Mytilus edulis: one gene and its partners. The protein of the gene in region 3 purifies or fractionates together with the protein of the main gene of each other region. This does not show direct contact. Links are inferred from orthologs where the notes say so. Each region holds a gene or a part of one and is shown on either strand. Other genes may lie near its edges.

Region 1 (6,940 bases), on a different chromosome or scaffold from region 3:
CCTAGGAGACATAAGACATATTGTCTTAATTGTAGATTTTGTCTTGTTGGTCATTTTTCCTTATTAAAGTTTCTATCTATCAATTCTAATTTTTAAGATATAAGGCAAAAACACAAAAAATGGTAAAAATCATCATCAAAGGGCAATAACTCTAATTAGTAGTTGGCTGACAATTTCGACCATAAGGACTAACTTGTAGAATTGTCTTGCTGATCATTTTTGCATTTGAATGCTACTCTGTATCTAATATAGTCTTCAAGAAAATAGGCAAAAATGAAATAAAATGGTAAAATAAGTCATTTAAGGGCAATAACTCCTATAAGAAGATGTCTGACAGATTTTCTATATTCAGAAATGGTTTTCAAAATCATAGATAAAACTTGCATTTTACCCTTATGTGTTATTTTTAGCCATGGCAACCATTTTGTGCCAACTCGGATCAAAATCCATCTATTGAAAACATGAATGTTTATAATCTGACATTGATAAGACCAACAATGACTGATTCCAACATGTTTGTTGGCAGGCAGGGTCATTGGACCCATTTTTGTTGTTGTTCCCTATTGATATTTTTACTTTTTTGGTAAGTGATGTTCCTTTTCATGGTGTGTATATTTCCCAATGGATATGTTATTATTATTTCATGGATTTCAATGAAAAGATAATAGATTTGAGAATGGAAACAGGGAATTAGAACAAGAAAAAAGAACCCAACCAAAGTCAAAGAGCAGTAAACAGTCCAAGGCCACCAACAGGTCTTCAAAGCAGCGAGAAAATACAGCACCCAGAGATTGGCCTCAGCTACAAATGTATGTATAAAAGTAAATTATCAAATCAGGGATTTTGATACCGAAAAATTACTTAAAACTTTTACAAAACCTTTGATTTCTATAATCATGATAATTAATTTATCATACATTATTGGGAATTCTTAAAGTTATATGATAGGAAATTCTCACAATTTACAAATTTAAGAGAATCTGAAAAAGCTTTCAGAGAATACAAAAACTGATTCAAATATAAAACGGTTACCTAGACATGATCCATTATGTGTATTAAAGAATCCAGCATTGATTGCCATTAAACAATTCTTTTGTTGGGCTGATTTTGGTGTTGTAGACCTGATCTGGTCATCACATCCTCCTTTGTATCCCGGTTCTAATACTGATATAGACCTCACTGGGTTGTTAACAACAGTAAAATGTATCTGTGCGTCACGTTTAATAAACTGCCCGACAGCTTTTATTGCATGGCGAGTTTCAGCTATAGGGTGAATGATATCAGAACTGCCATACCCATGTGCCATATGTTTGGACTTTGTCACATTGCCAAATAAAATATGCTGACAGTCTCGTGTATGTCGATGGCCGTGGTATTTTAAGAGATGGCTAGTAAAATAACTCTGAATTAAATTGTCATGTTCATCCACTGACTGACACTGTATTTGGAAAAATATACTGAAAAATAAAAAAAAGTAATATCTCAAGCTAATACAAATATTGTTTTAGAGTAGTTTCTAGTATGAAATGTTGTAACAAGTGTATGCCAAGACCTGTAACCTTTAATTAAGCTGCTGGCGACTGTCAGAGGCTCTGGGCCAATAAATTTGGAGATAAAAACAAAGAAGAAGTATGTGTCTGAGGACAGGAATGTCCAAGCTTAAACTTGCTATTCAGACAGAAGAACAGACTGAACAAGGGAGGGTCATTCAAGGGTAGCACTTTAATGCCAGCTTCTTCTTGTGTTTAGGAAAAAATTGTGTAGCTTGTGAAAAATAGCATGACTAGTGGACTTTGAATTACACTTGCACTACTGTAAACCAACTTATTTTCACTATTTTGGCGAATAGAAATATAACACAAATATAAATCGTCGCAAATATGTAAAACATGTTTTTTTCCTTTTTTAACTACATCAATAAAATTTAAAAATCATGAAATGGACTGATAAATTAAGGGCTATTTGTGACCCTCAAAAATAAGTTGGTTTACAGTATTACAGCAAGCATAGGCTTCACTATCAGCCATTCAGCTTGAAATCATTGTAAGAAACAAAGGATAGAAATGGCCACAAATCTGAAATTTTGAGGAAATGTCTAAAATTTCTTTCTCATCTCTATAAATAGGACATGAAGCTATTTTTTTTTTATTACATATATCTGATTTGAATAAGTGAAAAATAACTTGAGTACAAATTTTCATTGAAAAAGTCACAGCATGATCAAAACTGTAAGTGTGCCCAATTAAAGCTGTAGTCATCTATTCAAAAGTTTAAAAGATGGATTTATGATTTGGTTGACAGAAATAGTAATTTGTTAAGAGATGACTTATTACATTTTTATGTTTATTTGTTTTAGTCACTATAATGTTGTCCTTTCCTCCAATATGACTATTACATAATCTGCATCTGCAATTTTTGGTAATGTCCATTTGACATGCCTCTATACAGGAATATCACAGTTGTTATCCATTCATTAATCATCAAACTTTTACTTGCTGTAAGCAGCAATACTGGTTCCACTAAATGAGAAGGAAATTCTTATTGTTTTGAAGCATAAAGAATATTGAAATTTTTGCAGATCTTTTAATCATATTAAAGTCACTACGATTAACGACCCTGTTCAAGACTGTAGTATGATTCTAGCATGCTCATGCAAACCTAATCTAACATCACCTTCTTCATACCACCTGACTATGTTCATACTATGACCATTTCGAGTTTTAGTCATTCTCATTGTCACATAAAATATATAAAAGATCTCCAGGTTTTGTTTGAAATATCATTTACAATTTAACCAGGGAAACACAAGACCATGTACATGTAGTAATGCTTATACAATCATTAACACCAATACAAAATCTTAATGACCAGGCCATGATATTGTTATTGAGAGAGCGAAAAAAGAAGAAATTTAAGAGCGCATAGGACATGTTGGGTTAGTCCTTGGAAATCAACAGAAAGGAGACTCCAGTTTGGTTAGGATTAATAATCCTTCTTTAATTTTTTTAGAATGCCACCAGAGATGTTTGATGAACATGATGATGGTACATGTATGAACATGGAATGATCTTGGTATGAGTGATTTATAATGACACTAGAAACCATGGGTTCTTATGTTGTACTGTAACACTGCTGTTACACCACTATCCCAGGTTAGAGGGAGGTTTGGGATCCCGCTAACATGTTTAACCCGCCACATTCTCTGTGTATGTGCCTGTCCCAAGTCAGGAGCCTGTAATTCAGTGGTTGCCGTTTGATTATGTTTTACATATTTGTTTTTCATTCATTTTTTTTAACATATATATATTAGGCTGTTAGTTTTCTTGCTTGATTTGTTTTACATTGTTATTTTGGGGGCTTTTATAGCTGACTATGTGGTATGTGCTTTGCTCAATTGTTAAAGATCTTATCATGCTTATTATGGTGGCCTATAGTTGTTAATTTCTGTGTCATTTGGTCTCTTGTGGAGCAGCTGTTGTGGAGAGTTGTCTTATTTACAATCAATGAATCATACCACATCTTCATTTTTTTTATTAGCTCGTGTTGCAATCAGATAAATCATGGTCTGGTTGTAGTCAAAACACCTATTGGTGTTTAGGTGTTTTTTTCATATAGTTTATTTTACTTTGTTGAACTGTGTTAAAAGTGTCAATTTTAAATATAGGATAGGATTTTTAATCGGGTTTTCGAAAAATTGTTGCAAAAGACAGAAACGACACATTTTGATCCTCATAGTACCTTAAAATAAATAGAAATACATAAATAGGACTACAATAATATCGTTTTTGCATTTCTTAATGCATGTCGTCCACATAGTGTGTTAATAAATATCCTGCATCCACATCAGCGATCACTTCTGTCATCTGCATATCATTTCGGAATGTTCAGGTAACTAGTTCCGAGAGGCGGAAGTACATGTTTGTTGTGCTTCCGGTTACATTTTATTTCTTTGGTCAACAACTGGAACATTGTCATTGTCTTGGATTTGTTGTGACATAGAATCACCAGGCTGGAATCAATCCAAATTATTATTTTTACTAAAACTTATGCTTTTAATGGCTGCAGCAATTAATCAATTGTCAAAAATTAGCAAGGAAAAATAGATAGTGTTTTTCTTACATAATTTTTTTTATAAATATTGTGTTAGTTTATAGTGAATTATATCCAAGTAAAACTGTTTAATATGGTAACAAAGACTTTTCATAGTGATCTTGAGACAAAATGTGTTGATGGGTTCGAGTAATTCTAGGAGAAGCAGAACTATGAGCACAAGTAGTGAGACTGAAACAGAAGTTTTGGGAGCTCAAGGTGGATCAGATTATCCATCGGCAAGAGCTGCAGAATATCCATCTCCAAGAGGAATAGATTGTCCGCCACCAAGAGGAGCTGGTGGATCAGATTGTCCTGCACCAAGCAGGGGAGCAAACTCTTCAACTAGAACTGGCGTTGAAGAGGATCAGCACGATTTACAAGCAATACTGGCATACCTAATACGCAGGTAGCTACATGTACTAGACATATCTTCAAGATATTTTACCTAGTAAAATATTTATTGTATACATTAATAAAAACCATGATAATGGATTAGTTATTCAAAGCTAATATAATTATATATAATTAGCTATTTAATTATGCATTGTCGTAATTAAGGAATGCAGAAACAGCTGTTTTTCTTGTGAGTGTTTTTGTGAGCGGTACAGGTAAATTTTTATCATTAGGAATAATATGAACGAAATAAGATGAGGCAACAAAAAAACATTTACAAAAAGGTAGGTCATTCACATTGCACAGATTTCAGTTACCATGTAATATCAGTTCTTCCTTGAACTAATACATGTATTAATATGTTCATGTAAATAATATCTTTTGGTTCTAAATTCTACAACTTTTCTATACGTAACATTTTGTAGCTACATGTATGGCACAAAATATTTTGGCAGTCAACAGGACTAATAAGTCATTAAAGCTTATTGCAATGTCAGGTTCAACTTCTAATTCACTGTAGAATATTTCTACATTGTACAGTAGGAAAAGCTTGGATTAAAGATGCATGTACAAATGTACATGTACATGTACATAAACATGGATCCCAGATACTGTACATGTACATTAAAAGTTACAATACTGGTACAAAATTTTTATAATACTGGTATACCAACTACAGGAGATCCTAAAATTACATTGTACATCTACTAAATTAACTAAATTAGAAAATCATGAAATTAAATAGCTGTGAAGTGGACTAGAATGTGGACATTGAACATGCACTTAAATGTATGAGATAAAAAGACAAAAGCAAAAATAAAATGACATTTTGCACAATCGGTGTGCATAAATTTAAAATGTACAAAAAAAAATTGAAGATACATTTTCTGTACATGTATGCATATCTATTGCAATATTTTGCGAAATTTCGGCATTTTTTGTTATTGATAATTAACAAATATTGACATATATGTCATCTGCTTTACTTTTAAAGTAAAAAAATGGTAAAAACTTATATCATTACTCTAGATCTTATAAAAAAAATCACAAATTTTGAGAACCAGCTTCTTATTGGAGAACAACTGGAGAATGACATAAAATAAATTATATTTCATGTACATAATTATAATACCATATATACAGCCATAAATGATCTGTGTCAACATTTTAAGTAGCCAACCAAAATATTATAATGCTCGGATTTTAAAATTTAACATATATATATACATTGTAAATTATAATTAATTGAAAATATATCAAATAATTGTTGGTATCAAAATTTATGAAAGTCAACATTTGAACATTGGCTTGTACATTTTGTACATTCTGTATGTAGGACACAGTGTCAGTCTCTGTGGCCTTTTTGACATGTCAGTCATGTCAGTTGTCTAGTCTTGATATCTAATTCAGAAATTTATTTGTGCATTTTATTATTGTGATTTTTAAAGAATGAACCAAAATGTCGGACTATTTATTGTGATTTAAGGAAAATCTGCTTACTTGTGTAAATGTACATGTAGGTACATGACTACATGTATCAGGTATCTGCTGAATGCAAGATCTAATTATTTCGATACTCCCTTTGTCGCAATAATAAAAACATGAAAATTTCTGAATTAACAGTATTTATTTAGGCCACACCAATTTAATTTCTTGTTCTACAGATTTTTGGACTCCAAAAATTGGGGCGAGCGAGCGAGCGATTTGAAAATTTTAATAAAAAAATATTTATTTTGCAAATTTTTGAGGCGAAGCTTGAAAAGTAAAGGCGAGCGATTTTTTTTTTTGTAAACATAAAATAGTAGGTTTTGATAATATTAAAACTTGATTTATCACTTGTACTTTGACATTTCTTTAATTTATGAAGTACTTTTCCCATTTCACCAAATAAATAATTGAATAATTAGATTTGGTATATGTACATGTATATGTGTGCCAATTAATGAGACAATTCTCCATCCAAGTCATAATAAGGTTGGGAACAACCCCTCAATTTTATAAATATCCTTTTTATGAGGGGTCAATATAAGTTACAATATATTTTTTGTAAATAAAACTTTTTAGTACAAAAGAGCTCATATTTTCCCAAAGAGCTATATATCTATCTGGTATTAAATGGTCAAAACATGCCCAAGAATTTTGTAATATTCCTTGACTTAGGCCATGTTAACACATTTACTTTAATATTATTCAAAATAAATAATATCATAAATAATTCTCTTTAAGAATATAGTAATGTTGTTTAAAATTATTTAAATATGATGTATTTCTCCTCTCTTTTAGTTAATTTTTTTAAGTTCTTCAAAGGATTTGTATAGTAACACTATGCAAATCCTTGGTATTTCTTCAAGTTTCTTTTTTACAACAGTAAAATGACCCCATATGTGCCCTTCTGAGGGATAATAGCAAATACAGGTCATAGTACGTACGGCGGAGCTTTGACCCAGACCAAACA
Region 2 (7,061 bases), on a different chromosome or scaffold from region 3:
TAATTGTGAAAATCAAAACACAAGTACCCCAATAATATTGCAGGAAAGTGCACATTAACATGACATATATTAACATCATTTGAAAATTTAAATACACAAAAATATAAATGATTACCAAATACTCTAAATGCAGTGAAACAACTCCGAGCTTAATATTTAGGGAACATTGGATAATTTGTTTTTGCCACTGTGTTTTCAGTTTATTTTCGACTTGACAGTTTGAGTGTCACTTTGGTATTTTCGCCTCTTTTAATTTCCTGCAACCTGCCTGCTTTCTTTGTTCATATGTTTTTTGCTTTTTTTTTTAAATACTAAGTAATACAAATAGGCCGGACATACGAAATAAAAAAAAACAAACATAAGTAAAATTTGTTTAATCTGCTCACCGATATCACCTATACTGGCAATAATAAAATGGTTGCTTATCTCCTGGTACATACATTCTTTTATTCGTGTACCATAGGCTAGTAGTGTGGACATATAAGAGAATAATCTAGACATCATAGAGATCTCTGTTGTCCCCACTGTAAATAACGTGGGGTATGGATAAGCTGATATGAAGCACTTTTTAAAGTTTTTACATAGTCAATTATTCTATGTTTTTTGTTAAAGTGTTATATTTGGCAATTTAATAATCTGACTGTATCCTGAACTTATTTTCATAGTATAATTAAAGTGACATGACTGCATGGTGTGGCAGAAGGTTCCAATTCTGGATAGTGCGTGAAAAGAAGGATTGTTTGTACACTTCTGTTTTGGTGTAGCTCTACTTGTCTGTTTGAACGTCTGGTTTGGTTGTCACTTTCTACTAAAGTACTGTCGGTTTCTGGTATGGGAATCATGATATTGATGGCCTTGTACGTGATCAATAGGCGATGGTCTATAGTGATTCCAAGTTAAGAAGTTGAATCATGTTTGTGACACGTTCAGGGCTTTTGTCTCTGTAGTTATTACAGTCATAACGGGCTCTCCCTTTGTACTTTGTCGAGTCTGTTTAGTCATTAACTTTGTATGGGTCTCATTGAGCAGAAGCGTACTCCGCTGTTGGTCGGACCATGGATCTCTGTTGTCAAAGTTCTCGGACTGTTCGGTTAAAATCTCTAAAATTTTGGCGCAAGAATACTCGTTTTGAGGCTTTGGCTGCAGTCTCTATGTGCTTTTTCTGACTCTGTAAAATCAAACCAAAGAAAGATAACAGTATTCAAATAAGGCGACAAAAAGAATGTGGACGACTGTTCCAATTTAAGGCACAAAACATACCAACTGTGTCCAAGAGTCTTTTCACAACGAGGACTGTATTATATATTGTTCCAATCAATATAACATACTGTGTTAAATCCAGGATATGTTTTAATACTTAGAATGTTCATTTCTTGGAAAGATAAACTGTATTTTAATTAAACCTTTTTATTCGCACGACGTACGTTTAGTGCTTTTTAAGGTTTGAATAAGAAACTTAATTTAACACTTGTTTGATTATATTATATAGTAAATTATCTATCAATATAATTAATTTTAAACAAAAAATCTTAAAATTCAAGTTATTCTCAGGATCAAAACGCATGTAAATTACAGGTTAATTCGCGTAAACGTAAAACTATTTCGTGAAAAAAAATGCCTGTCAATCGTATAATAAAAAAATAGACATCATTGTTACAATACTGATTCAGGTTAGGTTGTAGGTTGGCGCCTGTTAAGACTGTTAAACCCGCTTCGTTTAGTGTGTATTTTAATTTAGACGCCATCTAATTAATTATCGAGTTGACCTCTAAAGTAAAGTAATCCGATGGCCATATAAGCTAAGTAAACATAAATATAGATATGAAAAGATTAACCAACTCGTGCTGTTGAATTATTCTAGGTCTATTTGATTTCATATTATAGTGGAAATAGTGTTTTCGTCGTTTTTATCTGTATAAGAATGATGTTTTGTGGATCGAATCAGTCAATCAAATGTTTTACCTTTGTTTCACTTTCAATGTTGACATTCTTTTCCTTTAAAAAAAACTTTACACATACAATTCACGTGTTATCCATCTCAAGCTAAGGAGTTAAATTGAAGTTCACATGAAAACGGATTCAATGAGGTCGAATTATTCACTTGCAAGTGAATTATTCATAATCGATGTTTATTGGCTTATTTTGACAACATTTAACCATACTGGCGGCTCAAGCCGAATTATTATTTCACTATTTGTATTTCATTAATGATAGAGCAAAAAAATATATTAGATTTTTCATAGATTTCGTAGCTAGTGCCTCTTTAAGCTGGATGTTCGGACGGTTGTCATGTTTTGGGATTTTTGTCAGATTCTCAATATCCTATGGTTTTATCCATTTGAATGCCTTAAAAAATTTGCCCATTGACCCCCTATTTTTCTTTTTATGGATCTTTTACATGTATTATTATAAGCCATCTGTAAAAGTCTTATAAAATCTTAGTTATTTGAGAATTGAATGCTTCTTTTTGTAACTTCATTGGGGTGAAAAAGCGTTGACCGAAGCATTTTGTATGAAGCGCTTAAGCGCTAAGCGCTTCATTCTAAAAATGTGCGCACGGTCAACGCTTTTACAACCCTATGAAGTTACGGCAAAAAAGAAGCATTCAATGCTTATAATTACGTTTTTTAAGCAAGAGCATAAAAACACGAATTTTATCAAGTTTTATTTCATTTACCTGTGCACTTTATTGTGGGGCCTCGTGTCATCATGAATGATAAATTTTATTGTGTAATGAAACTGCTTAAAGAATAACGCGAGCTTGCAGAGTAGCCAATCAGAATCTCGTATTATAGTGAAAACACATCTAATGTAAAAAAAAAATAATACTTTTTGAGAACTTTCAATTGTCAATGATAATGCTATAAAAAATAAAGAGAGAATATTTTCCCCGCCAAAATTTCAATGGCTAATATCTCGAAAAACAAGCACATTGACTTATATATATGTTTTGCTTTTTTGGTTGCTTAAGTAACCCCATATCAATATATTCTAGTGTATTGAGAAGCTTGTTATTTTTTCTGGAATATTATTTCTATAGGAATAATTATTACAGTATATGTTCCTAATGGAATAAAAGGTATAGAATATGAGTGACAATGTTTATAACAAAGTTTCCATTGGAACTTCTGTTAGGCGGAACAAATATAAGTTTACAAAATAACCACTGCCATATAATAAATTTGGTAAATGATTTGATGGTACTTTGGGAGTAATAAGTGAGCGATAATATTAAAGCAGATCAAGTCAGTGGCGGATCCAGGGAGGGGTTCCGGGGGTTGGAACTCCCCTTTTTTTGGCCGATCAATGCTAGGATGAAAAATTTTGTCCTGCATTTTTTTTTAGTTGTAATCTCTGTCCTGTCTTTTTATTTTTCACTCTATTCGGTCCTGCTTTTTTTTTTTTTTTTTTTTTAGTTTATCTGCCTTTTTTTTTTTTGGCAAGTGTCTCATCCTGCCTTTTTTTTTTTTACTCAAAACTCCTGTCCTGTCTATTTTTTTCAAATTTCATCCTAGACCCCCCCATAAAAATCAAATGGTAGCTCCCTAATTATAGATCAAAGTACGGCCTTCAGTAAGTAAATCGAAGGAATACGGGTCATTTTTAGCCATATTACTGCGAGTATACACCTTATCGCTATTTGTCCGCCATTGCTGGAAATCACACAGGTTCCCGTAAAATTTTGACGTCATAAAACAAAATGTCTGACGCCACAATGGAAAAGTGATTGTCGTTGACGTCAAAAGTTCAAGCGGACGGGTCAGCCGGGAATAGCGATAAGGTGTATTACTGCGAGAAAAAAATCTCTAAGGTGCATCAATCGGCGGTCCCTAGTTAAGCCTAAGGCTAAAAGGAAAAACACAAACACAATCTTTACATTAATAAAGATTTTATCTAATCTTTATTAAAATCCCACAAGAGAAGAGACATATATGATTACATGTGGACACGAAACTAAGACTCGAAAAGGTGTTTCTTACTTTTAAATATTCCCGCCAAATGCACAATTATTTTTATGGTAAAAATCCGAAAACCGATAGAATGGCTTTTCCTATTACTTTCGTATTCAAAAAAAAAAATAAAGCATGAACGAAAAAGATTGCGGGAAATTTGTTATTTAGGTAGCATAAACATGATAAATAAGAGACAGTTTTCAGTGAAACAAGCAGGAAAATTATATATAGACAAACTAAATGTTGTACTGTCGACTTATTCACATGCTGTACATACTTGTAATCTTTGAAATGCTTACTTTCTCTGTTACTGTAACATAACTAAAAGTTGTTGTGAAATTCACTTTACCAGTATTTTAAATTGACCATACTTTTACATTCATATTAAGATATATGTTGAAGCTAGGACCGAGTATTTTAACTGACACCTGATAACAAGTAAAAAAAAATGTTGACATTCAATGATAATGGTAAAAAGATTGGGAAAACCCCTCAATGTAACTTATGTGTAACAGGGAGAGCATTTCGGAAAATTTCGAACGGGATGGTGAACCTATATACAGAAGACACGCTCATTCCACCAGACATTATCCTGGAACTTAAACATCAACGGTTTCCAATTACCAACTTGCAGAACCATGAGGAAAGAATTGTTCTATCCAAGAATAATAAGGGACTAGACTACCACTTACCACCTCCAGTGCAGGTAGTCTTGAAAGTTTCAAGACTCACCTACATGAGACGATTAGACCACCGTCATGGGTGTTTTTAACCTCACTGTATACACATGTAGAATGTACATTTGTATAGCACAAAAAATGTTAACATAATTTTATCTAAAATATTTACATGTGTATCCAAAAAGTGACAAAATAACACAGGCACTTGTTTCTGTCAATAAGTCGTTTACTATCCATACCCGTACAAAAGTTTTTTAGTAAACCCCATATTGACAGAAATAAGTGCCAGTGCAAATTAATCAGTTTTGTTGATGGTGGCCGCAAAATGGTAGAAGTCGAAGTAGAAGCATGATTCTTCATACAAAATCATCTTTGTCTTCTCCAGGACTTGAAGCCCAGGACCACTGTGTTACAAGGCAGTGTGTATACTGACTAAGCTTAACAAATACTACTGTTGTAATCAGAAGTTTAGACAAACATAGAAAAGACCCATTTGATTTTAATGTTTTGTCATGTTTAAAGTAATACTAATTTTTTGTTTAGTTCACTACAGATTTCTTCTTGCTATACATTTCATTTTTATCATGAAATCTATAGACAACATTAGAATTGGATGCATTTCTCTCAAGAGGTTTTGTTTAAGTGAACATCATTTGTGTGCTTAGGGGAACTGTCACTTTTCTTCCCATGTTGAGTGAGTGGTTTAAAAAATATGATTCTACCAACAAAGGGATATTTGATGTTTGTTGTTTATACATCTATATGTATGTCATGGGAAGCACTGCTACAATATATAACATATGTTGTTTTTATTTTTGCAGGTTAGAAATATACATTGTGTTGTAGAACAGAGATATGGCTGCCCTAGATTCATTGACTAAATTTAATGGTTTTTTGGATGAATGGATTACAAATGAATATCGTAACAGACTTGACAACAATGAAATCATTAACATGCTTACAAAGTAAGGAATACCTAATATATGTTGAGTAGATATACAATAAAACAGAGAAACGCTCTTAAGAGTTTTTGAATATACCGCTTTTCTCAACTACTAATCAGATTGACTTACATTTTGTACTGTGTATCTAACAGTTGTGTACTTAGATGAAAAAGGTTATGATCAGGTCTTGAAGCAAAGATTCAAGTTCATTGTATTATATCATACCAGTTTCATTTTTTTGTTGAGATACATTGCACCTGCATGAATTATACTAAAATACAATTTAAGTGTAACTTTTAATGATACAATCAATTTCAACTGATAATTGAAAGAAATACATGTATATATCAAACTGTTAAAACTAACACGTAATCACACTTTATTCAATAAGCCTATTTATTACAGGTTATCAGATATTATTGAAAGAGAAACAGAAGAATTTTACAAGATGGACCCAGATCCTTTTGATGATAGACATCCAGGTATATTTTCTCCTATGGATTCTATTTAACTTTATGATCTGTAGGGGGTCAGGAGGAAACCGTATAATGAATTTATCACACACAGGACTATTTCTCCAGCATTTTGTAGAAAAAATGGTTTCCGGATAATAACTTTAGTATAAGCATATAGAAAATGTCAACACAAGGTTTGTAACCACTAAAGGAAGGTTTGAATTGATTTTTGGGGTAATGGTGACTAAATGGTCCCAACTGTTTAGGAATTAGGGACCAAAAAAGGGGCCCAAATAAGCATTTTTGTAGTTTCAAGACAATAACTTGTGTTAAATCTCTCTGAAATTATACCACAAGTTTCCATACTACAAAGGGATGGTTAAGATTGACTTTGGGGGTTTATGGCTTAACCTTTTAGCCCCAAAAACCGCCTGTAGGGGTGATGGCGACAACCATTCTTTGATGGCCCATATGACCCTCAATACTTTTTTTGAAGTGCCCAAGCTGAACTGTCATGATAACAGGGACTTCAACCAAGCAGTTCATGATTCATAAACTCTTCTCAGATGTCTGTTTATGAAAATATGGCACTTTGAAAACCGTTTAAGAGTTCAAAATCAGATAAACGTGAAAAGTAGCAAAAATCAGGTGGGGATGGGCAACTTTTGATGTCCACTACGCAACTGGAAGTGACTGTAGGTATAAATAATTTTCATAAATGCATGCATAGGTGGTACAGGAACACAAAGAGGTAAAAAATTGCCAACAGGAGTCTTTCTGTAAAATCTAGGTCACTGTTTTGTCAAAGTGTTGAGGAAGGTAATCCAAATCAATTTTAAAGAACAATATTTGATTACCTCCCTTACACTGCTTGTAAATTATGTATTAAGAAATGATGACTGTCTTGAATTGATTAGCTGTCAATTTATTTTTAGCAGTTCCTATTTATTAATATTAATTTTAGCCATGACTATATATGTCATTTTATATTTTAAAACTTATATGATGTATTTAAATGGGAAATTGTGG
Region 3 (7,327 bases):
AATTCAGACATCAAATGTTAGTGTGTCTTGATAAAAGAGAAGTGGAAGAATACAAAGGAGCATTATAGTTGATGACAAACTGATAAAGCCATGTAAAAAAAAAGAAAAACAACCAAATCCCAGAAATCAAGTGCTTGTAAGCACTGAATGGTAAAGATTGCTTTAATTTATCAGTTGGAAGAAAAATTTAATATTGCATTGGTTGTAGATGTTTTAACAGCAATTCTAGACAAAGGAAGATAACTCCATTTTTTTTTTAAAGATGACTTTAACAATGGCATCATTTATATTCTTAGAACAGGTATAAAATTCATGCCCTTTATAGCTTGTTGTTCGGTGTGAGCCAAGGCTCCGTGTTGAAAGCCGTACATTAACCTATAATGGTTTACTTTTTTTTAAACTGTTATTTGGATAGAAAGTTGTCTCATAGGCACTCACACCACATCTTCCTATATCTACCTAACAAAAGTTATGTAATTTTCATGACAAGTGTAACATCATTTTGTGCCTTGAATATCTGAGCATATATTACATTGTTAAATTTCTGGAAATGTTCATGGACAGGATATATAAAATATTATGATCAATACACTATAATATGTGTATCAATAAGGTTGTGATAAGTCTTGGAAGAATTGATATCAAGTCAATCCCATAAGGTTTTGATTGAATTTCATGCAATCTTTACCTTTAAAATTATGACATAGAAAAGAAAAGACTAAGCAACAGACCCACAAAAAAAACAAAAAAACTCTGGTATATTTGTATAGATTATCGGGTTTTCTACACATTGATATCGTTAAATATCAGAGCGAGCCACAATGCGAACCTTTTTGGCGAGTGAGCGTAGCGAACGAGCTAAAAAGTTTCACATTGTGTCGACCGGCTGATATTTTACGATATCTATACGTAGAAAATCCGATTATCTGTTTATCGTTCTATTAATGGTATTTTTTCCTCTCCCTAAGACAGTTTTAAGCTTGACGAAAGCAAGCTTGATAACTTCTCCTCTCGCATTGTGACGTCGCTGATAACTTCTCCTCTCACATTGTGACGTCGCTGATAATGCCTGGTCTCGTTTTGAAGTCTTGATACGAGAATTACTGAGCGACAGAGCAGGGTGATATAGGCGTAGGGAAGGACGATAATAAGATTTATTGGGATAAAAGACAACTTCAGAATAGCAAAATAATGAAACTTTGAGACCAAATGTCATTTCCCAAAAATGCAATTAGAGCAAATTGAGTTAATCATATTAAAATAAATAGGTAATAAAAAATTAGAAATTATGTGTTTTTGGTTTTTTGATCTTTAAATCCTGATCCATTATCTCTATTTTTCCAGATTTTCTCTTTGGAGTAGTATCAGTAATGCCCCAACCTTATAGAATAATAGGTTATGCAATTGTGATAGTTGTGGTTTTACCATCAATATAGTTTTAGTAACAAATGTGAATTTAACTAAGTTTCTGGGCTCAAAGTTATCAGAATTTTCTCAGAATTCTTACCTGTGTTTAGTTTTATCTCATTTCATTAGTTACAAAGGTTTTAGGTTCACATTTGTTTAAAGTCTTTAAGTTTTTATTCATTTTATACTCAACTGATTTTACCTTCAAACCAGAAGTGGGATTTAGCTTGTGCAGAAGCACAAACTTTTAGTAACCTAATTTCATTGGTATATTGATAATTATTTCAGTCAATCAGAGCATGATATGTTAAAAATTTTCAAAGTCTTTCAGGAAGATAGTTATTTCATATCCTAAAAGCTAGGTATTTTACAAAGTAAAACCTATGAACTGTAAAGGGTTCATTCAAGTTAAAAAGGTCATACTTTTTTTACCATATAAGTCTGTATATTCCTTATATTCATTGGTACATTTTGTACATGTCTAAAGGCGACAGGTATGTTACCCAATGGAATTGTATTCAATTCTAGTTTTTGATACCATTTACTTAGATTAGTATTAGAGAGGACTGTTTCAATCCATTATGTTGGTATTCAAACTTGAGCAATTTTGTGGTCTATAAAGAGTTTTCTTTTTTTTTTGTTAGATGACTTTTTGTTAGGACGATTTTATAGATGGCACTGGCTACAGTTACATGGAAATGTAACAATAATAAAAATATTATTGTTACATTGGAGACTAATTGCCGGAATGCAAAGTTGGGTAAGGAACCGATTAATTATGAATGTAACAATAATTATTGAGGCTACGGTTACATTGCATTATTGTTACATGAAAAACAGCAATGTACGCTAGATTTATTAAACTTAAATCTTCTATTTAGTTTTGTTGCTTAATTCATTCAGGTCTACTAAATAATACTTGTTATAATAATAAATATTATTATTCAACAAATGGTGTTTAAATAGTTTTAGGTATTAATGGATTTGATGTTCTTAAAGATACTAGGCAATATAGGAAAGGTGTACCGACATAAGTAGTCTCTAAACACATTAGCTCCAAATGGAGCTTTCGTTAGTTCTTAAAGATACTACTTCAAATTAGTAGTGCCAAAGGCAAAAAATATAGTTCAATGGTTTGTTGTTGAAAACTCAGGCTGAGAAAACTGTTCACTTTTAAGTATTTAACTGCACACCTACTCGTATTACTGTCATTATACTTTGAACAAAAGATGAAGAGATTCCTATTACCAATTCTGTTTGGGTGAAAAATTTAAAACTTGCATGGGATGCGTTTGAAACGAAACTGAAACAATATCAAGACACAAATTTCATACCGCTATACAACGCACTTACCAAAAATTGGTACATCAAAAAGTTTGCTGACTGTGAACTAACACTGTGAACTTCTGTATACATGTATAAAATTGAGAATGGAAATGGGAAATGTATCAAAGCGACAACAACCCGAACATAGAGAGACAACAGCCGAAGGTCACCAATGGGTCTTCAATGTAGTGAGAAACTCCCACACCCGTCAGAGGCGTCCTTCAGCTGGTCCCTAAACAAATATGTATACGAGTTCGGTGATAATGGACGTCATACTAAACTCTGAATTATACACAAGAAACTAACATTAAAAATCATACAAGACAAACAAAGGCCATGCAAAGGCACCTGACTTGAGAAAGGCGCAAAATTGCAGCGGGGTTAAACATGTTTATGACATCTCAACCCTCCCCTATACCTCCAGCCAATGCATAAAAAACAAACGCACAACACTACGCATAGTAAAACTCAGTTTAAGAGATGCCTAGTCCGATTTCAGAATCCATGGAGGACGTACTATAAAAAAATCAAAAATTGTATGTTATACTTGTATGTATTGTAAATATAAGATAATGTCTTCAACTTTTATTATTTAGTACATATTACTAGTCCCATCGAATATTGCTGTTTTTCATGAAACAATAACGCAATGTAACCGTAGCCTCAATAATTATTGTTACATTGGTAATTAATCGGTTCCTTATCCAACCATGCATTCCGGCATTTAGTCCCCAATGTAACAATAATATTTTTATTATTGTTACATTTCCATGTAACTGTAGCCAGTGCTTGCTTTATAGATACTTCCAGTAGGTCAATTGTCAAATCCTGGTTTCAAAGTTAGATAAATAAAATAAATAAGTATAACTTGTTTGATATTGTAAGCTGATTAAATTTTGTAATTTGTTATAATAAAAGTTGTGCTTTAAAATCTTTGTTTTTCAAAGCCTATACAAGCATCTGATGATCTGAGAGATACGAACCAGGACAGGTACTTACCAGGACAGGTACTTTACTACACGGTCCAGGACTAGTCCCAATCGAACCCCACAGTATACTGGGACCTGTTCCTGTTACACAATGATCTAATAAATGCAGAGATGTGTTTTGTGCAGTTGCTTGAGGATTTCAAGACTCAGGCTCTATACAAATTAAAACAGGCTTTCAAGTTTTTTGAAATAGTTGTTTTTTAGCTTCATTAAAATTCCTAAGTTTATAAAGATGTCAGACGTTTGTTCTATTTTGGAAGAAAGATCCTTTATACATCAACCTATTTTAAGTATATTAAATAGTTCATATTGTTTCACTTGCTTTATGAACATGTATATAGAATAGAATAGAATAGAATAGAATATATATATACCATCTAACGTCCCATAGACTGTCGTTCTATTTAATGACCTATTTGTTTATTACCGCTTAAGATCATAAACAATTGACATGCATTAATTTTGATATGATTTCCACTCATTTAGTTTGTAGAAAAAAAACATTTTGAAATTTGGAATTTCAGATATTATTTTTAAATGTATATTTACAAGTCATAAGGCTTTTTAAGAAAAAAATAGATATTATCTTATTGTTGTAAGCGACAACTGAACATTGGTGAAAAATCCTGCTTCTAGAAAAATATAACAGACTATGGCCTCAGTCTTAGAGCAGTATGTCAATACAGTACAGAACCTGTCTTCCCAAGGTATAAGAAATAATTATTTCAGCATTAAAAATTAAATTCAATCAACTAGTGTAGACAAATCTTACAGTTACATGACATTTGAACCCCATCTCCTAAAATAAATGAAAAAAAATCATCATTTTACTCTGTCTTGTTGAGTGGGTCCGGGGTAATTCCGTACACTTTCGGTCCTAAATGAATATCATTTGGTTCCCTGTTTGATACAACAAAGTTCAAGAAGGAAACCGGTAACTAGATTATTCGTAGATTGTAGACGTGTATGACTTTTTCTTTAGCAATCAACAAAAAATACCAAGAATGACTAAATCGTACTGAAAAGTCACAGTAGGGTAAATACGTACGCATGTCGTGTATCTTCGTACACCATGATGTGTAATTCCGTACAATTATATTACATCGATATAATTCAAAATACTGTTTCTCTTTGGAAAGAGCTTTCCTGATTTTTGTCGAGCCTTCGACTTTAGTCGAAAAAGCGAGACTAAGCGATCCTACATTCCATCGGCGGCGGCGGCGTCCACAAATATTCACTCTGTGTTTAAAGTTTTTGAAATTTTAATAACTTTCTTAAACTATACTGAATTTCTACCAAACTTGGACAGAAGCTTGTTTATGATCATAAGAAAGTATCCAGAAGTAAATTTTGTAAAAATAAAATTCCATTTTTTTCCGTATTTTACTTATAAATGGACTTAGTTTTTCTGCGAGGAAACATTACATTCACTCTGGTTAAAGTTTTTAAAATTTTAATAACTTTCATAAACTATCCTTGATTTGTACCAAACTTGGACAGAAGCTTGTTTATGATCATAAGATACATTTGTAGTATCACGAAGAAAAATTTGAAAAAAAAAATTTCCACTTTTCCGTATTTTACTTATAAATGGACTTAGTTTTTTTGCCAGAAACAAAACATTCACTCTGTCATGTCTGTGGTTTAAATTTTTAAAATTTTTATAATGTTCTTAAACTATCCTGGATTTCTACCAAACTTAGACAAAAGCTTGTTTCTGATCATAATCACTTTTTCCGTATTTTACTTATAAATGGACTTAGTTTTTCTTCCAGTTAACATTACATACAGTCTGCAGTTAAAGTTTATAAAACATTTATTAGATTCATAAACTATCCTGGATTTTTTTTTACCAAACTTGGAAGCTTCTTTCAATCAAAAGACAGTATCGAGAGGGAAATTTTTATTGATGTTTTTCCTCATTATTGTTGAGTCTGCGATTAACAACAAAAGTAGGCGAGACACTGGGTTCCGTGGAACCCTTACAATTTTTTTTTTAAAATAGAACTTTTTCCAAAACTCAATCGGCAGTGAATATGGATAAAATTAAAAGCTTTATTGCATATTATTTATAAATTAAAAAAAATGCAGGCATGGAATTGGATCATACAACGTTTTTTTTCTTATAAAAAGTTAAATCAACTTTGTTGACCTCTAGTTGTTAACTTATAGCTTGGTTTATCTACTTTAGGGCAGCAATATGATCGTGAATAGTCTTTACAGGAACTCCATATTTCATGGAAGATTTTCTTAGTGACATATTGTTGTGTTTGACATCATTTACAGCTTTTTGCAAACTTTCAGTGGTATAGCTTTTACGTTTTAGGAGAGTTTTCCTTTTTTTGGCATAACTGAAAAAAGAGAAGACAAAAGTTAAAGAAATTGATAAATATTTTATTAATTACAATTATCTCAAAGAAAAAGTATGTTTAGTCAGACCAGGACTGGTATTCAAACTCATCAGTTGTTTCTAAAAGTGTCCTCAAATTTTCAAGATACGGATGTATTCCTACAGGTAAGTTTGATAATTGATGATGATGAACCAAACTTCGCACTTAATAAGTTAATGGTAGTTCTCCTACTTCATATGATGATAACCATTTTTTAACAACATTCAATGCAATATTTCCAATGGTTTTATCGGAAAGCTAATGTACAATGCAATCAACCACAAAGTATTGCTTGACTTCATGAAACATTGGCATGTCTAGTTTCATAAGCTGCCATGCAATTAGGGAGGAGTAGTTGTTATGTATACCAATATCTCTGTTCATTAAATATATGACAACTGAATGTTGATTCATAACTGAAAAATATAAAGAATGGTTTCTTTTTTTACAATTTATTTCGTTCTACGAATATTGTTGATGCCAGTTAACTTTGTATCTTTTTTTTTTTTAATTTGCTTCTCTTATTTCAGTTCTGTTTTAATTGATAGACAAGTACAGAAATCGTTACTCACCTTTCCCACTTCACCCGCTTATTACTATACACAGGGTCAAATTTTGTAACATCATTTCACGGTGAAATAAAACAACGTGAAGATAGTGTCTGTATTTATGTTTATTTTTTGCGTAAAGTTCACTGGTAAAAGCAAAGGTTAGTAATATATAACGTTTCATTTTATAACATGATATTTCATATATCTGAAAACTGAAGTGTACGATATTAGACTACTTGCATTTTAATGTAAAATATCACAAAGGGTAATACCGTACACCCACTCCTAGTCATATTTTTGGGAAACATCTTCACAAATACTACATAAAACAGTATATGTCAATTGTAAAATATTCAGGGCATTCATTTGCCATCAATTTTCTTAAATTTAGATGCAAGTAAAAAATTCTTACCTTTAAATATCGAAACTTGGTTACTAGCAAAATCTGGTGACTTTTTCCACAAGACTAGCTTTCAAAAAAACCTGCAAATCAAACTTTCCGATCAATCGTGATGCGTATATATTCTGTGGCCATTTTAACTTTAAAGCTTAAAAAAATAAGGTCGTAAATATTTAATTATCTATATACAACACTAAAACACACTTTATTAATCTTATTTATTATAAAAACAACAGAAAAACAATATGTACGGTATTAACCCGA
Region 4 (7,617 bases), on a different chromosome or scaffold from region 3:
TTGAAGAAAAAAACACGGTGTCATTTCTTTTTTTTAGAAAATAGAATTATAAAAATATTGAACTAAGATTTCAAGTCCTGCTACATTTTTTTTTACATGTAAACCATGCCAAACTTTATAATATTCTTGTTTAATTTCAATTTTTTATTTCGTATAAAACAAAGGGCTAGATGGGAATAAAAGAAGATTAATTAAAAAACAAATACATCATTATTAGCTGGGACTATGATACTATATGTGTATATATATTTGTCAGAACTAACTACTTATCTTCTTGTATTTCTTTTTATGGGAAAATACCCTTCTAAACCTGGAGCACATTAGTCAATGTCAACTTGAATTATAGTATATTACTATTATTTTGTTGCGTGTTTCCTGAAGTATTTGATTTTATATTTTTTTTTATACTGTAAATTCAGAAATTATTGCGAGATTTTTATTAATGCGAATAATGCGAGCGTCGGACGATCGCAATAATTAAACCTCGCATTCTTACTTTCATTTTTCCAATGTCAATTTGTGATTGATTTATCTCCCTTTGTTCAGTGGTGTGATGTGTTTAACCTTTCACCTGGGGCATTTAAGGGTAATATGTTTTTACAACTTATTTCCGCTAATCTGTGTAATCAGTGAAGCCAGGTGACATTTTTATAACACTTCGACTTTTAATTGGTAATGTGTCTGTAATATGTTTATGATTGAACAATATTGCCGGGAACTTTTATGAATGGGATACTAGTACTAGTAATTACTTTTGAATGCTGTTCGATTATTATATAAAGTGACAAATTACGATGTTATTTTATTTTGTTAATATTGTTTGTAATTGTTCAGTGGAGCATGTGTATTTTCAGTATAAGTAAACCTTTTGAAACTTAGAAATAAAAACAAGTTATATAATACAATTTATTACAATAAATAAATAATAAATAACAAAATAACAAAGATCATCAGAAGATAATATTGTTCATAAAGCACAAGCTACTATTGTTCATTGAGCACAAGTTCAAATTTACTACGGGTGATTGCGATTATCAACTTTTAATATTGTAATTTATTTTCTTTTGAAGTTAAAAATATCCTATAATTACCCAAGCCGGGCCTCGTTCTACACTAATCTTCTGCACGTGGTCGATGTTCAATTAAGTTTCTAGATCCCCAAAGTCGGCATGCACAACACATAAGTTCTAGTAATGCATCTTAGTTTCTAGATCCCCTTTACAAGTTACATCAGTTAAGAATTGTGTATTCAATCACAGAAAACATACGGAAGGTAACTAAATGCATAGATTTGAACAAAGCTTTACTTTGCGAAAAGACATGTGAACATCTGTGATTTACAATAATGTTCAGCATAAAAAAATTTTTTTTTTAATCGGCAAGTCGCAATAATTAAACCTCGCATTTTTGCCTGTGGTCGGCATATCGCAATAATAAATGCACGCAATAATTTCTGAATTTACAGTAACTCATGTTATATATCTTTTGCCTGTGTATTGAATATTTTATTGTTTATGATATTATTGATTGTAACAGTAATGCTGTATGCCCTCCAAGGGGTCCTTAATAAGTGAATAAAAAAATTCTTTTCTATTTTTCTTTTCTATTAGATAGGCATCCGACCCTACCTGAAATTTTTCACATGAATTTTAAATTTAGTCCTCTCACCATGCTCACAGAATAAGGTTTTCAATGATTTGCAATTTGCTAATTTCCTTTGGTTACAAAATAAAGTTGATTTCCTTTTTGGTTCTTTTCTAAAAATGGTCGCTCTTTTCTGAAAGTCTTCGAACCTGGGTTTCTGAGACAGCCAGATGGGAACTGAATCCCAACTACTCATTTGCTACTGAACAATTAAGGCTAAAAGAAGGAGAAAATATGTTGTTTCCTGAAAAAAGGAGATATAGACATTGACCTTGCTTCTGATCATGATTTTTCTCTTAACTCACAGGCACTTAATTGTTTCTATAAATTGGAAGACCCACTATCAACTTATATTTACGTTCATAGTGGGTCTTCCAATGGATAGAAACAAGTTAAATATACATTGTTAGTGGGTCTGCCAATGGATAGAAACAAGTGCCTGAACTCTAACTGTCTTATTTTTTTATAAATGTAAGCCAAAAACTGATCTTTAAACACATAATGATAAGAGATGCAGTGGCGGATCCAGAACTTTTCCTAAGGGGGGGCCTGCTCCAGTCATGCTTCAATGATTCCCTATATAATCAACCAAATTTTTCCCACAAAAGGGGGGGCCTGCCCCCCCCCCCCCCCCTTGGATCCGCCTATGAGATGTGACAACATTTGCCAATGATGAGGGTGGTAAAGGGTTATTTTCGTGCAACGTGATCGCCGTATTTTATTTGACGTTCAACATGTTTTTACTTTTTTATTTGTCGTTGAGTCGTGCATGAGGGGTGCCTCGTTCAACGTGTTCTGCTTATTTAATTTTACGTGCATCGTGATTTTCAAAGTCTTATTTTGCGTGCTCGGTATTTTTCAAATAAAATTCAAACACTTGGCAAGGATCGTCAAGAAATACTTTTTTAAAAGCCGTTAACCAATTACATCATAAATGTGTATACTGTCTAAATCGGGAATATCAAGTAAAACAAAGAGTTAATATATACAAGAAGACAGTGACTCAGTCACAAAAGGTTCAAATAAAAGTATTTATTTTTTGTGCAACGTACATTACAGAAATTATTTCACGTCCAACGTGATATTATGTCTTATAACAATACTTGTTCCCCCCCTTTTACCACCCTCAATGATCATGACACCTTTCCATGTTTTAATTACCATTCAATTTGGAATTAAGCAATGGTAAAACTGAAAATTTAGATATATATAATATAGCTTGATTCCGTGTAACCTACCAAACGAAGATTTACAAGACAGAAATGATCAAATCTTCCCAGTTATTCTTTAACCAAAATATTATATTGTAAACATGCCAGGTTATATAAATTTCGCGGGAAATTGCATGATGGGATAGAATTCTAAAATGCTTGAAGTTTTACCATTTCTCTCCCTTTAACAAAGCGCACTGAAGATCGTCCTGTTCACTTCCTTCAAGGTCGTATTCTCCAAGGCCGGTCGAGCTAACAGTCAAACGTTCTTACTTTTCACCAACCATGGCATCTCAAAGGAAGTTTTTTGTTGGAGGAAATTGGAAAATGAATGGCAATAAAGCCAGCATTGATGGAATTATACAGTTTCTTAACGCAGGACCATTAGATCCAAATACAGGTGATAAAATTCCACAAGAAAACAAAAAAGGGGGGTGACGGTCACTGATGCTGATGATGGATTGCTGTTTAGGTTCCAAGTACAAATTCGTGCACATTGAGGACGGGAATATTTTCATTTGACCAAAATTTCAAATTAACTCCTTACTTTGATCTACTTTGATTTGTCCTGAACCTGTTCAAAAGAATTTGCTGAAAAGTTGGACAGGTGCTCACATCAAATATGTTCATCACCTGATCACATGCCATTATTCTGACTGCCATTAGTGTGACAACCCAATAATCTGACAGCCAAATTATACCAAAACCCAAATTTTGATGTCATAGAGAAAAAATACCGAAGTGATTGTTGTACATGGCTCAATATCTTTAATTGTTTTTACATAGGCGGTAATGGTAACGTTTTTTCCTGTAGCTCAGTCCATATCGTAAACTTGGACATGTATGATAGCTCGTTTCGAAGCTTTGACATTTTCACATATGTGGTTAAATTTTCGGGGTACGAAGTGAGATTACTTTTTCCGTAAATTAGCAAACCCTGAACATCCTTTTGTGATGCGGCTCCTTGTGGTAAAATATCCCCTTTTTAACACAATAAGTTCTTTGAAAATTTAATACTTTGAACACATTCAATAGCTCCATAGTTTTTAAACATTTATTCTATGTTCCTCTACTTTCCTAATCACCACAAATAATTAAGTTCAGTCATTTTTTAAAAATAGATACATGTCCAATATAACTACACAGAGATTTTTTCTTTACACGTGACTTTTGTTTCCGCTAACGTGCTGAAATAAAATAGGGTAGGTAGGTAATATCATTTTATTTTACAAACATTTTTTGTTCTTCTTCTTTCAATACAGAGTAGGACTCTTCTTGAGTGTAAAATGACTCTTGCTTGTAAAATCATGAGGCCTTCCCTCCTCAATTATCAAAACCAGCATTAAAGTACAGTAATTATTATTTACAAATTAAAACCATATACATCTGGTTACTACTAGGGAAACAGTCTGGCTTTTACTGTGCTTATTCCAAAATGGCATAAAAAATGTTAGGGTAGGTAGGGTCAGCGGAATCACATGTATTATTTTTTTTGGCCTTAGTGAGAAACTGGGTTCTTGAGTATGTTGAGGGACACACTGAGCTAAATTGCCATTATTCTATTTCACTATTTAATAGTGTGGACATGTACAATTTGGAAATTAGTATGGCGTTCATTATCACTGAACTAGTATATCTTTGTTTAGGGGCCAGCTGAAGGACGCCTCCGGGTGCGGGAATTTCTCGCTACATTGAAGACCTGTTGGTGACCTTCTGCTGTTGTTTTTTTTTCTATGGTCGAGTTGTTGTCTCTTTGGCACATTCCTCATTTCCATTCTCAATTTTATGTCACACTATCCAAAATTTTATTCTGACTTTGAGCTGACCAGAACGTTGCCATATGCTTATAAGAGGGAACTTTTTTATTCAAATTTTCAACTTTAATTTGACCAGGCCAGGATTAAACACAACCTTCTTGAAAACAAGAACACTTAAAAAAAAATGTACCAACAGACCATGTGACAAGATATTTTTCTCACAAAAATTTAATTCAGTGAAAAATTTGTACACCCTCCATGTATATTTTCTTTCACAATATTTAATATTTTTAATTCCTTTTCAGAGGTTGTAGTTTCTCCTCCAGCCATTTACATGGAGTATGTACGAGGGAAACTTGACCAAAAGATAGGAGTTGCTGGACAGAACTGTTACAAAGTAGAAAAAGGAGCCTTTACTGGGGATATAAGGTGTTAATATTGCTCAATAAGTTAGGGAATGACCATTAACTAAAAAATATGCTGTTCCAAAATTTAATCAAGCAGATAGGGAAAAAACAATGAAAAATTTCTGAATCCTAATGCTAATTATGAAAAAAGTTATTTGATGTTATAGCGTTGAAAAACTTTTTACAAAAATTTGAGTCTTGACAAAAAACCATAACCCCCCATTGAAGTCATTGTTTGCTTCCTTACACATGTTAAAGTAATGTCCTAGATATAGGTGTAGATATTTGGTCCCAGATCCCCCCTCTGTCATTTCTGTGCTTCTCTTTGGTGCCTGTCATGGGGAAAGATTTGATTTATCTCCCTTATTATTCACGTATTTTCACTGTCGTTTAAAAAAACAAAAGTCATGTTTTCTACCTTCTTCCTCTGACATGTCTAATGGGCATTTATTAAGAATGGACAAAGATGCAAGCCATTATATTTTAATATATCAGATTTTTAAATCCAAGTTATTGGGATACACATTATAATAATACAAACCATGCAATTATTTCTGTATTTACAGTTATAATATAATTCAGAAATTTTTGGGATGTTTTTCCTATAGCAACAATCGCAGTCCAATATATATATATGTTTTTCTCACAAACATTTCTAATTTGTTTATATGACATGAACATGATGAACAATAAAGGTTATTATTGCATAGCAATATAATATTTCCCACAGAAGGTAACTAAAAGTTAGCGTGCAATAAATTCCAATATATTGCACAAGTGCAATATATTGTCTTCAAAATTCATGACGTCATCAACATGATCAACAACAAAATCATAGTTTAAAACAATTTTTACTTTCAAATATTAAATTGGTTACGTATTGCATGAATATTAGGGGAATATTGTCCCTAGTAGAATTTTATATTGCACGAGCTTGCGAGTGCAATATATGTTCTATGAGGGACAATATTCCCCAATATTCATGCAATAACAATTTTATTGTATAGCAATATAATATTTGAAAGTAAAAACTGGTGTAAACTGAGATTTTGTCGTTGATGACGTCATGAATTTTGAAGATTTATTGCACTAGTGCAATATTGGAATTTATTGCACGCTAACTTTTGGTTACTTTCTGTGGGAAATATTACATTGCTATACAATAAAAAGATTTATTGTACTAGTGCAATATAAAATTCTACTTGGGACAATATTCCCCAATATTCATGCAATAACCCTATATATTATAACATATCCGTTTATTTTAGTGCAAATATGATTAAAGATATTGGATGTGAATGGGTGATACTAGGTCATTCAGAAAGAAGAAATGTTTTTGGAGAAAGCGATCAGGTGAGTGAATGGTCTTCTGTCTTCTTTTTTTAATGTCTTCACTTTTTTTTTGGGGGGGGGGGAGGGAAATAAGTGGGATCTAACTGGCAGGATTGAAAAATATATGATACAGGTTTTATAAGATATAAAAAAGAAGATGTGGTATCATTGCCAATGAGACCAAAATGACACAGAAATTAACAACTATAGGTCACTGTACGGAGAGTCAAGTAGTGTTAACAAATTATCTCAAATATATATATTAAGTACTGTAAATTCAGAAATTAATGCAATATTTTTATTATTACAAATATGCGACAGTTATTATTGCAAAAATTAAAACTCAAATTTGAAATTATTTATATGAATTATTATGAAATCTTGATTTTTCTCCCTATCGCAAAAATTAAAATTGCATTTAAGTCTTAAATAACAAATTCGGAATAATAAATGCACGCAATAATTTCTGAATTAACATTAAAGTAAGTTTGAGCGGGGAGCATTTGTGTCTACAGACACATTCTTGTTTTAGTTTACATAAAGATGACTGATTTATGATTTCAGCTGATTGGAGAAAAAGTAAAATATGCTTTAAGCCAAGGTGTAAAAGTAATAGCTTGTATTGGTGAAAAAATAGAAGAAAGAGAAGGAGGCAAAACAGAAGAGGTGGTGTATAGACAAATGCAGGCAATAGTTGGTATGTATATCTGGCAATACGTTCTCTTATTCTTAGTCCATTGATGCTTTTTCTACATAGTAAAATATGTTGCTTGATTCTCTTGATTCTCTTGTTCTCAATTCCTCATGTTTAAAATTATCAGGTTAGGATTCTCCCTAAAAAATAATGGTCGGTGTTATATGTTATTTTCAGTCCACTTATCCATATTAGGGGCATTATGGTTTGTTTTTTTGGTCTATGCATCCCTTTGTTTGTCCATCCATTTATCTGTTCGTATCGCTTCTGGTTAAAGTTTTTGATCAAGGTAGTTATTGATGAAATTAAAGTCCAATCAGCTTGAAACTTAGTACACATGTTCCCTATGGTATGATCTGTCTAATTTTCCAAATTAGAGTTTTTACCCCAATTTCACGGTCCACTGAACATAAAAATGAAAGTGCAAGTAGGGCATCCATGTACTATATATATGGATACATTCTTGTTATTTGGTAAATATAAAAAAAAAAGGAAAATAATTAAATTATGTTATATTGAAACCAGCCTCACCTCCAGCTTGATTGCCAAGGGAAATAAAACTCCATCTCAAA

The links.
Region 1: the proteins of COP9 signalosome complex subunit 3-like (region 3) and DDB1- and CUL4-associated factor 11-like purify together in Homo sapiens (affinity purification with mass spectrometry; 3 studies listed by BioGRID and IntAct, counting the BioPlex papers as one, with this or other methods). This does not show direct contact. The link is inferred for Mytilus edulis from reciprocal best matches to the Homo sapiens genes COPS3 and DCAF11.
Region 2: the proteins of COP9 signalosome complex subunit 3-like (region 3) and DDB1- and CUL4-associated factor 1-like purify together in Homo sapiens (affinity purification with mass spectrometry; 5 studies listed by BioGRID, with this or other methods). This does not show direct contact. The link is inferred for Mytilus edulis from reciprocal best matches to the Homo sapiens genes COPS3 and DCAF1.
Region 4: the proteins of COP9 signalosome complex subunit 3-like (region 3) and DNA damage-binding protein 2-like purify together in Homo sapiens (affinity purification with mass spectrometry; 7 studies listed by BioGRID and IntAct, with this or other methods). This does not show direct contact. The link is inferred for Mytilus edulis from reciprocal best matches to the Homo sapiens genes COPS3 and DDB2.

What each region holds. Positions count from the first base shown.
Region 1 is NC_092348.1:88,946,253-88,953,192, forward strand, and holds the start of DDB1- and CUL4-associated factor 11-like, read left to right. Parts: upstream 1-3,938; 5' UTR 3,939-4,229; coding exon 4,230-4,498; intron 4,499-6,940. Other genes in the region: N-acetylglucosamine-1-phosphodiester alpha-N-acetylglucosaminidase-like, read right to left, coding at 1,033-1,457, 3,739-3,791. UniProt on the Homo sapiens protein: May function as a substrate receptor for CUL4-DDB1 E3 ubiquitin-protein ligase complex.
Region 2 is NC_092344.1:96,408,373-96,415,433, forward strand, and holds the start of DDB1- and CUL4-associated factor 1-like, read left to right. Parts: upstream 1-4,034; 5' UTR 4,035-4,121; intron 4,122-5,454; 5' UTR 5,455-5,488; coding exon 5,489-5,598; intron 5,599-5,982; coding exon 5,983-6,059; intron 6,060-7,061. UniProt on the Homo sapiens protein: Acts both as a substrate recognition component of E3 ubiquitin-protein ligase complexes and as an atypical serine/threonine-protein kinase, playing key roles in various processes such as cell cycle, telomerase regulation and histone modification.
Region 3 is NC_092352.1:14,420,110-14,427,436, forward strand, and holds the start of COP9 signalosome complex subunit 3-like, read left to right. Parts: upstream 1-4,307; 5' UTR 4,308-4,374; coding exon 4,375-4,429; intron 4,430-7,327. UniProt on the Homo sapiens protein: Component of the COP9 signalosome complex (CSN), a complex involved in various cellular and developmental processes.
Region 4 is NC_092356.1:11,910,900-11,918,516, forward strand, and holds the start of DNA damage-binding protein 2-like, read right to left. Parts: upstream 3,004-7,617; 5' UTR 2,879-3,003; intron 1-2,878. Other genes in the region: triosephosphate isomerase-like, read left to right, coding at 3,141-3,255, 4,918-5,041, 6,288-6,372, 6,916-7,048.